Macaca fascicularis: one gene and its partners. The protein of the gene in region 3 interacts with the protein of the main gene of each other region in a biochemical or structural test. Links are inferred from orthologs where the notes say so. Each region holds a gene or a part of one and is shown on either strand. Other genes may lie near its edges.

The links.
Region 1: the proteins of BMPR1A (region 3) and BMP7 form a complex in vitro, tested with the Homo sapiens proteins (2 studies listed by BioGRID). The link is inferred for Macaca fascicularis from reciprocal best matches to the Homo sapiens genes BMPR1A and BMP7.
Region 2: the proteins of BMPR1A (region 3) and BMP4 form a complex in vitro, tested with the Homo sapiens proteins (3 studies listed by BioGRID and IntAct, with this or other methods). The link is inferred for Macaca fascicularis from reciprocal best matches to the Homo sapiens genes BMPR1A and BMP4.

The regions. Positions count from the first base shown.
Region 1 is NC_088384.1:113,278,579-113,282,235, forward strand, and holds part of BMP7 (bone morphogenetic protein 7), read right to left. Parts: intron 3,456-3,657; coding exon 3,263-3,455; intron 1-3,262. UniProt on the Homo sapiens protein: Growth factor of the TGF-beta superfamily that plays important role in various biological processes, including embryogenesis, hematopoiesis, neurogenesis and skeletal morphogenesis.
Region 2 is NC_088381.1:121,789,955-121,792,392, reverse strand, and holds the end of BMP4 (bone morphogenetic protein 4), read left to right. Parts: intron 1-648; coding exon 649-1,505; 3' UTR 1,506-1,809; downstream 1,810-2,438.
Region 3 is NC_088383.1:59,723,481-59,727,137, reverse strand, and holds part of BMPR1A (bone morphogenetic protein receptor type-1A), read left to right. Parts: intron 1-3,500; coding exon 3,501-3,657. UniProt on the Homo sapiens protein: On ligand binding, forms a receptor complex consisting of two type II and two type I transmembrane serine/threonine kinases.

The DNA of each region.
Region 1 (3,657 bases), on a different chromosome or scaffold from region 3:
CCAAAGCCAGCTAATCCCCGGCACCCCCGGGGCTTTCCTGGAGCTCAGGCACAACTTGTCAGATGTCCCAGCCCTGCACAGCTGGACGGCTGGCGGCACAGAGACCGAGGCAGCCACACGGCGGGGGCAGCAGGGCAGGGTCTGGGCTCCCCTGGGCTGAGATCTGCAGGAGGCCTTCAGCTGGAAGAAGCCGTGCGGGCCCAGGTTGGGGACACGCAAAGAATAGCCCCATCTCTGAACAGGCGAGCTGGCAGAAGCGTACGGGATTCAAAGAGCATTTTCCAGCTCAGGGCTTTGTTCCCACTGGGAGACTGCAGAATTAGGGGAACTGGCTCAGTGGACATACACAGGAAGGCAGTGCCACAGCCACCACCCAGGGCTCTTATCTTCCCAGGGAGGTCTTGCTCCACTTCCTGCCATGATGACGATGATACTAACGCAGGTGACCATTTATTGAGCACTTCCTGTGTGTGAGACACTGTTGTAAGTATGTCACCCCCTTCCATCCACAGCACAACTCTGGAAGGGAGATCCAGTTATTATCCCCATTTTACAAAGGAAAAAACTGAGGCTGTGAGAGGTGACTCTTTCCCAAGGTCACACGGGCACCTGGTGGCAGGATTTGAATCCATGCTCTCAATAGCTGGGAACTACATAATAGGGGTATCTTGGTTCTAGATTCAAAAACAAAACCACCTGTCCAAAAAAATGAATAAATAATATTTTTTTTAATTTAACCATTTAACGTCTGAAGAATGGAGGCTTTGCTGCAGGAGGCACAGGAAGAACATGTAGAAACCTAAAGAAAGCAGCTCGGTCTTTCCCTCCACTGCTTCTCACCCTGCTCCCTTCCCTGCTCAATGCTCCCACCTGCCATGTCCTCTCCTCTGCTGGAACGTGAGCTTCCAGAGGGCAGGGACTCATGTCTAGTTCGTTCTGGTCGATGCCCTCAGGCATGGCATGCAGCAGGTACCTGTGCTGAGCGGGGACTCAGCCACCCAGCAGCCCAGAAGCCCCCAGGAGCAGGACCCCAGCACCAGAATGGGCATCCCCAGCCCAAGTTGCTTGTTGCCAGCAGCCTGGCAGGGAGGACGCCTGGAACGCCCATCCCTGCTCCAAACACACTGCTCAGGCCTGCTGCCCAACCCTGCAGCCCTCAGGATCCACCCCGTGGATCTCAGGCAAGACAGCAGAGACACCTCAGACCATGATGGGACCAGGTACCCATGAAGCCAGCAGGAAGGACCAAGAGCTGCCAGAGCTGAGTGGAGAATCCAGATAACAGCCTGGACGCAGAGGCTGTGGTTTCACCCTAAGAAAGAAGCTCCCTGGCTGCTGGGAGTAGATGCCGATGTCACCTCCCAGGAGAGCTGCTCAGCAGTGTCTACCAAAGCCACCCACGTGTGGGCTCTCTGACCCCACAATTCTACCTCTAGAACTTTATCGGACTGATAGACATGAACAGGTGTGTCAGCGAGGGTACCTGCCCTGCGGCACCATCCATCATAGAACAGAGGGGCCAGCGTGCACACATGAAAGACAGCACACCCCACGCTGTGGAACAGTGAGGTGACTCAGAGGACGAGGGCACCCTGCGTGACCCACTGGAAAGGGCTGCCAAGGTTCATCATCCAACGATGAAAGCCAGGGGCAGGAGTGAATGTACTGTGGGGTGCCACAGGTGAAAACAGCAACACAGATCCCTTCGCTGATTTCAGGAGACTCAAGTAACTGGCAGCAGGAGCTGCCTCAGCAGGAGCTGGGAGCCTTCATTTTCACTGTGGTTCCTTCTCTTTCCTTTTGATTTTATACCATGACCATGTCTTGCTTACTCAAAAACCCTTTTTTTTTTTTTTTTTTTTTTTTTTTTTTTTTTTTTTGAGACAGAGTCTCGCTCTGTTACCCAGGCTGGAGTGCAGTGGCACCATCTCGGCTCACTGCAACCTTCTCCTCCTGGGTTCAAGCAATTCTCCTACCTCAGCCTCCCAAGTAGCTGGGATTACAGGCACGTGCCACTATACCTGGCTAATTTTTATATTTTTAGTAGAGACGGGGTTTCACCATCTCTACTGGGGTTGGCCAGGCTGGTCTTGAACTCCTGACCTCAAATGATCCACCCACCTTGGCCTTCCAAAGTGCTGGGATTACAGGCGTGAGCTACCACACCCAGCCTAAAAACAAATTTTTGAAAGAAATATCGTTCATAAGCGTGGGCTCCAGCTTTGCAAACCTGGGCTCATGTCCTAACGTGGCCACGTTCTCTCTGGGTGGCCTCATTCTTTGGCTTCGGGCCACTTTAGTTCTCCCCGTTTTACAGATGAGCCACCACTTCTGAAGGCTACTGTGAATGTGAAACAAGATATCTCAAGTGCAACACACTGGAAACGCTCAAGACAGTTTTGTTTTCTTGGTACTTAGATGACCATCCCCCCGCCCCCGCCAAATAGCAGTGCTTGGCAAATGTGGCTGTGATGGTTCTTCTGTCCCTGTCTATGGTAACAAGTCCCCTTTCTAGCTGAAGATGCTAGGCCTGCACATCACAAGGAGGTGCCCACAACACCTTTCTTCCATTAATTTCCCTGCCCAGTGTGGACGGTAGACGTCTGACAGCCTGAGGGGTCCAGTAACCCAGCCACTAAGTAATAGGACCTTGGTCATTTCCGCCTCCGGACTGTCTGAATAGAATGCACCTGCTAAATGTCCCAGCCCTTTTTCTTAGCCTCCTTACCTCTCACAAGACCTTTAAATTAATGCATCTCGATAAATTAAAGACTTTCAACACACACGTTTGGTTTCTGAGCTAGTGATTCTTGGAAGCTAAGAGTTCTCTGTTTATTTTTGGTTTGGGCTTTTTTCTTCCCCTAACATTTTATTTTAGATGGCCACCTTAATTGGTTGCCTGACATTGTGCGCTGGGTTTCAGAGTAAGGAATGGGAGAGAGGTAGCCCTTCAAAAATGTTTCTTCCCCTTCCCCTTTTCTTCTATGTCCCTTAGCACCCAGACAGATCCAGACTGCCTATATATACCCATATGGCACCATGCATCCTCGGGCTCCCTGGCCTTCTACTATTCCTGAATTCGTTGTTGGTCATGGTTTTAAGAAAGTGACATACACCATACACCTTCTTTAGAAGGGATAATCTGGTACAGGACCTGGAACGTGGCTGCACCAATCTGTCCCATCCTCTGGCCATCACCCCCTTTTTCCTCTGCCCCCAGAGGAAACTCAGCACCTCTCCCAGATACTCATACAGCACCCACCTGCCCAAGTGCTCCTGGAGCACCTGATAAACGCTGATCCGGAACGTCTCATTGTCGAAGCGTTCCCGGATGTAGTCCTTGTAGATCCGGAATTCGGCTGCTGTGACAGCTTCCCCTTCTGGGATCTTGGAAAGATCAAACCGGAACTCTCGATGGTGGTAGCGTGGGTGGAAGAATTCCTTGTCATGTTCCACTGGAAGAGGAAGAGAACACACACCAACACCGACAGCTTATTAGTGTCTGGGTTTCACTCTCAGGCTCTGAGTTCAAGCATCTTGCCTAAGCTAGATGGAGGCATTCCTGTTGCCAGTGACCCCAGTGACAACTGCTCCTTCTGCACTGACACACTGCAGACTGGAGGGTCACGGGCTCAGACCCCACGGCCCCCATGGTCA
Region 2 (2,438 bases), on a different chromosome or scaffold from region 3:
ATTACAGCTGTGTGTTTGTCGGGTTTATTCAATAGGGGCCTTGTAATCCGATCTGAATGTTTCCTAGCGGATGTTTCTTTTCCAAAGTAAATCTGAGTTATTAATCCACCAGCATCATTACTGTGTTGGAATTTATTTTCCCCTCTGTAACATGATCAACAAGGCATGCTCTGTGTTTCCAAGATCGCTGGGGAAATGTTTAGTAACATACTCAATAGTGGAAGAGGGAGAAGGTGGTTGTGTGCATGTTTCCTCCTGCCTGTGCTCTGTTGGCCCCTCTTTTTCTTTACAACCACTTGTAAAGAAAACTGTGGACACAAAACCAAGGGGGGGTTTTAAAAGAGGAGTCTGATGGTGGTGCCCTAGAGGAGTTGGCACATGGAAATTATTAGACATGTCAAGGAGGCTGGGAGGTAGTTTCTGTCTTTGGTGCTTGAGAAATGCTAGCTACATTTTGCTGGTTTGCTAGCTGCCCCACTTATCTGCTCCTTCAAATTAAGGGGTATGCTTATTTCCCCCCAGTAGGTTTTCCCTGCATAAGCAGAATTCACCATTCATCGCCCAACCCTGAGCTCTCTCTTGACTCTTCCATCTTTGAAAAAAGTTCATGTGCTTTTTCTTTTCCCCTTCCTTCCTAACTGTGCCTAGAACATCTGGAGAACATCCCAGGGACCAGTGAAAACTCTGCTTTTCGTTTCCTCTTTAACCTCAGCAGCATCCCAGAGAACGAGGTGATCTCCTCTGCAGAGCTTCGGCTCTTCCGGGAGCAGGTGGACCAGGGCCCTGATTGGGAACGGGGCTTCCACCGTATAAACATTTATGAGGTTATGAAGCCCCCAGCAGAAGTGGTGCCTGGGCACCTCATCACACGACTACTGGACACGAGACTGGTCCACCACAATGTGACACGGTGGGAAACTTTTGATGTGAGCCCTGCGGTCCTTCGCTGGACCCGGGAGAAGCAGCCAAACTATGGGCTGGCCATTGAGGTGACTCACCTCCATCAGACTCGGACCCACCAGGGCCAGCATGTCAGGATTAGCCGATCGTTACCTCAAGGGAGTGGGAATTGGGCCCAGCTCCGGCCCCTCCTGGTCACCTTTGGCCATGATGGCCGGGGCCATGCCTTGACCCGACGCCGGAGGGCCAAGCGTAGTCCTAAGCATCACCCACAGCGGGCCCGGAAGAAGAATAAGAACTGCCGGCGCCACTCGCTCTATGTGGACTTCAGCGATGTGGGCTGGAATGACTGGATTGTGGCCCCACCAGGCTACCAGGCCTTCTACTGCCATGGGGACTGCCCCTTTCCACTGGCTGACCACCTCAACTCAACCAACCATGCCATTGTGCAGACCCTGGTCAATTCTGTCAATTCCAGTATCCCCAAAGCCTGTTGTGTGCCCACTGAACTGAGTGCCATCTCCATGCTGTACCTGGATGAGTATGATAAAGTGGTACTGAAAAATTATCAGGAGATGGTAGTAGAGGGATGTGGGTGCCGCTGAGATCAGGCAGTCCTTGAGGATAGACAGACAGACAGATATACACAACACACACACACACCACACACATACACACACACATTCTCATCCACTCACCCACACACTACACAGACTGCTTCCTTATAGCTGGACTTTTATTTTAAAAAAAAAAAAAAAAAAAGGAAGAAAACCCTAAACATTCACCTTGACCTTATTTATGACTTTACGTGCAAATGTTTTGACCATATTGATCATATATTTTGACAAAATATATTTATAACTACATATTAAAAGAAAAAATAAAATGAGTCATTATTTTAAAGGTAAATCATGGCTTTTTTTCTCTTTAATCCTCTCTCTTTTCCTTTGGGCTCATCTCTTTTGAATGAGGCTTTTTTCTGTTGAGGTGAGTTGGAGGCTGGATGGAAGTCAAAAGGTGGTACCTGGAGGTGGTTAAGTTGTAGGGACAGGAAGTAAACTGTTCACAGAGAGAGATGGTAATTGCCAGCATGAATTGTTTTCCATTTCTATTTAATGTTAACAAGGACACAGTATCCTCTCCCATCTGGATGACACATGCCTTGGAGAAATACTGGGATGAAAGGAGTGTAGGTCAGATTAAAGACTTCATTTTGGGCCCCTTGTACATCTTCTGTTTCACTCACCTGTTGAGGCGTATCACAGCTGAGTGTGATGAGGTCTTAACTCTAGAAAAATGATTACCCACCTCTGCTTTTATGATACCTCAGAGTATCTCCAGTTATTACAGGCACCAATGTGATATTTCCAAATCAGAACTAATTTGCACACTCACATCATAATGTGTGTGTGAAGGCATGTTTAAAAAAATTTTTTTTCTCTCCAGGGAGGACTCTTTTGTTTTTGTCTTTTTTTTGTGGGGGGGGGGAACAGGTTCTCTCTCTGTTGCCCCAGGCTGGTCTTGAACTCTTGGGCTCA
Region 3 (3,657 bases):
GCAAAGGACTAGAAGAGCCAAAACAATTTTGAAGTAGAAGAACAAAGAGGAATTACTACCTGATTTCTGGATTTACTGTAAAGCTCGATAATGATCACAATTTGGTACTGGTGTAAGGATAGATGTATCGATGAATGGAACAGATTATGGAGTTTAGAAAGGAACATGCACTTAATATGGTTAATTGATTTAAAAAAAAAAAAAGGTGCCCAAGTAATTCAGTTGGAAAAAGGCAATCCATTTAACAGATGGTGCAGGAAAAATCGGGAATCCATTTACCAAAAAGTTAATCTCAGCCCTTACCTCCTCACTCTGTATACAAAATTAACTTGAAATGTAGCATAGTCCTAAATGTAAAAGTTGAAGTATAAAACCTCTAAAAGAAAATGTCCAAAGGAATTATTGTGACCTTGGGCAGACTTCTCAGTACATAAAAAGCACAAATCATTTTTTTTAATGATAAATCAGGCTTTATCAAAATTTAAACCTTCTGCTATTTAGAAGACAATGTTAAGAAAATGAGAAGACAAGTCACAGATTGGCAAAACAGGTCTGATACAGGGTGTTTGTGCAAAATATATAAGAACTTTTGCAACTCAATAAGACAACCTAATTTTTTTTAAAAATGGCCAGAAGATTTGAACAGACACTTCCCCAAAGAAGATAAAAGAATGGCACACAAGCACATGAAAAGATGTCAGCATCAACAGGGATATACAAATTAAACGCAGTAAGATACTACTACACATCCACTAGTATAGCTAAGACTGACAATATTAAGTGGTGACAAAGATGTAGATCAACTAGAAATCTCATACATTGCTGATTGGAATGCAAAATGGTATAGCTATTTTGAAAAACAGTTTGACAATTGTCTGGAAAGTTAAGGGTATACTTTCTGTACAATGAAGCAATCCTTCTGCTAATTATTTACCCAAGAGGTATGAAAATTTGTCCACACCAGAGGCCTGAATGTGAATGTTGATAGCAGTTTTATTTATAATAGACATAAACTGGAAACAACCCCAAAGCTCATTAATTGGTAAATGAATAAACAAATGGTGGTACATTCATACAGTGGAATACTACTCATCAGTAAAAAGGAACAACTTCTAACACCTGTAGCAGTAACAGTGGGTGAATTTCAGAAGTATTTTATGCTACATGAAGGAAGTCAGACACAAAAGGCTACACTCCTGCCTCAGCCTCCCAAGTAGTTGGGATTAAGGCATGCGCCACCACACCCAGCTAATTTTTGTATTTTTTTTTTAGTAGAGGCGGGGTTTCACCATGTTGGCCAGGCTGGTCTTGAACTCCTGACTTCAGGTGATCCCCCCGCCTCGGCCTCCCAAAGTGCTGGGATTACAGGCATGAGCCACCACGCCCAGCCAAAAAGTGAAAATTTTTTTACGTGATTAAAATGTTCTGAATTTTTTTTTTTTTTTTTTTTTTGAGACGGAGTCTCGCTTTCTAACCCAGGCTGGAGTGCAGTGGCCGGATCTCAGCTCACTGCAAGCTTCGCCTCCCGGGTTCACGCCATTCTCCTGCCTCAGCCTCCCGAGTAGCTGGGACTACAGGCACCCGCCACCTCGCCCGGCTAGTTTTTTTGTATTTTTTAGTAGAAACGGGGTTTCACCGTGTTAGCCAGGATGGTCTCGATCTCCTGACCTCGTGATCCGCCCGTCTCGGCTTCCCAAAGTGCTGGGATTACAGGCTTGAGCCACCGCGCCCGGCCAAACGTTCTGTATTTTAATTGTGGTATTGGTGATTACATGATATAGATTTGTCAAAGGCTTGTTGTACTTTTCTCAAAAAGGGTACATTTTATGTAAATTATAAAATCTTGACTTAAAAACTTACAGGCTGAGGCAGGCAGATCACTTGAGGTCAGGAGTTCGAAACCAGTCTGGCTAACATGTTGAAACCCCATCTCTACTAAAAATACAAAAATTAGCTGGACGTGGTGGCAGATGCCTGTAATCCCAGCTACTCGGGAGGCTGAGGCAGGAAATCGCTTGAACTGGGGAGGCAGAGGTTGCAGTGAGCTGAGATTGGCTGCTGCACTCCAGCCTGGGCAACAGAGTGAGACTCTGTCTCAAAAAAAACAACAAAATTTACAAAAGGATTCTGTAATAAATGATACATAAAGTCACTTTAACTTTGCACTAAATCTAGTTCATTTTAGAAGCATTTCCAACTTGGAACACAATGTTCTTTTTAATGTAGAATGATCACTAACGCTTCTGAAAATGAAAGATAACAATCCATATACATCTTTTATTTAACAAATATGAAAGTTCTTCTGATATTGTCCCAAATAGATACCTGTATTCTGTGAGCAGGGGATGGATTTCAAGCAAATATATACGTAAATAAGAATAAAGTTATGATTGTGTGAAGTGCAGCAACTGAGAGGTTTTGTGTGCTATGAAGGTGTTTAAGTGAGAAAATAGCACTCTAAGTAAAGGGAACTGGACATTCAAAAAGACCCAGAGACAGGAATAAGCTTGAGTGAATTCTAAAAGTTGACATAAATCAAACAGGAGGTTTGTGGCTGGGTGGTCACAGCGAATAATGGGGTCAAGCCAGATCTTGCAGGGTCTTATAGATGGGATTTTTAAGATCTTTAACTGTCATTTGGACTTTGCTGCATAATAAACCATCCCAAAAACTTAGTGCCGTGAAGCACAAAGATTATTTCTCATTCTGTGAGTCTGCGGGGCAGTTCATTTGTTGGACTTGCTCAGCTAGAGCTAGGTAGTATAGTTCACACGCATGGCCAACCGTTCATGCTGCCATTATTTGTTGTTCACAGGGTTACCAAAGCAGCAGGAAAGGGCAAGCCCCAGTCCACAAACATTTGTCAGGTCTTTGCTTGCATCACGTTCGCTGTTGTTCTTTTATCCAAAGCAGGTCATATGGCCTAAGCCCTGAGTCTGCGGGCCAGGAGTACCCATGGCTGTGTGCACTGGGAGGGGAATTATTATGACCATTTTTGCCATTAGCCACACTGAATAATCTGTTTATAATTTCAGAATACATTGTAAATTGTTTCATACTTTAAAGTACATTATGGCTGAGCATGGTGGCTCACACCTGTAATCCCAGCATTTTGGGAGGCCAAGGTGGGCGGATCACCTGAGGTCAGGAGTTCAAGACCAGCCTGGTTAACATGGCTAAACCCCATCTTTACTAAAAATACAAAAAAATTAGCTGGATGTGGTGGTGGGTGCCTGTCATTCCAGCTACTTGGGAGGCTGAGGCAGGAGAATCACTTGAAACTAGAAGGTGAAGGTTGCAGTGAGCCGAGATCAGGCCACTGCACTCCAGCCTGGGTGATAGAGCGAGATTCCATCCAAAAAAAAAAAAAAGTACATTATAAGTTTTTAACTCGAACTGGTTGGGTATACCATGCTTTTTGATGAGATGGACTATCCCTTTGCCAGTCTTAATGGGTTTCTTTCATCAAGAGCTCAAACCTTTTACTTTTTTCTATAAAGGTTCAGCGAACTATTGCCAAACAGATTCAGATGGTCCGGCAAGTTGGTAAAGGCCGATATGGAGAAGTATGGATGGGTAAATGGCGTGGCGAAAAAGTGGCGGTGAAAGTATTCTTTACCACTGAAGAAGCCAGCTGGTTTCGAGAAACAGAAATCT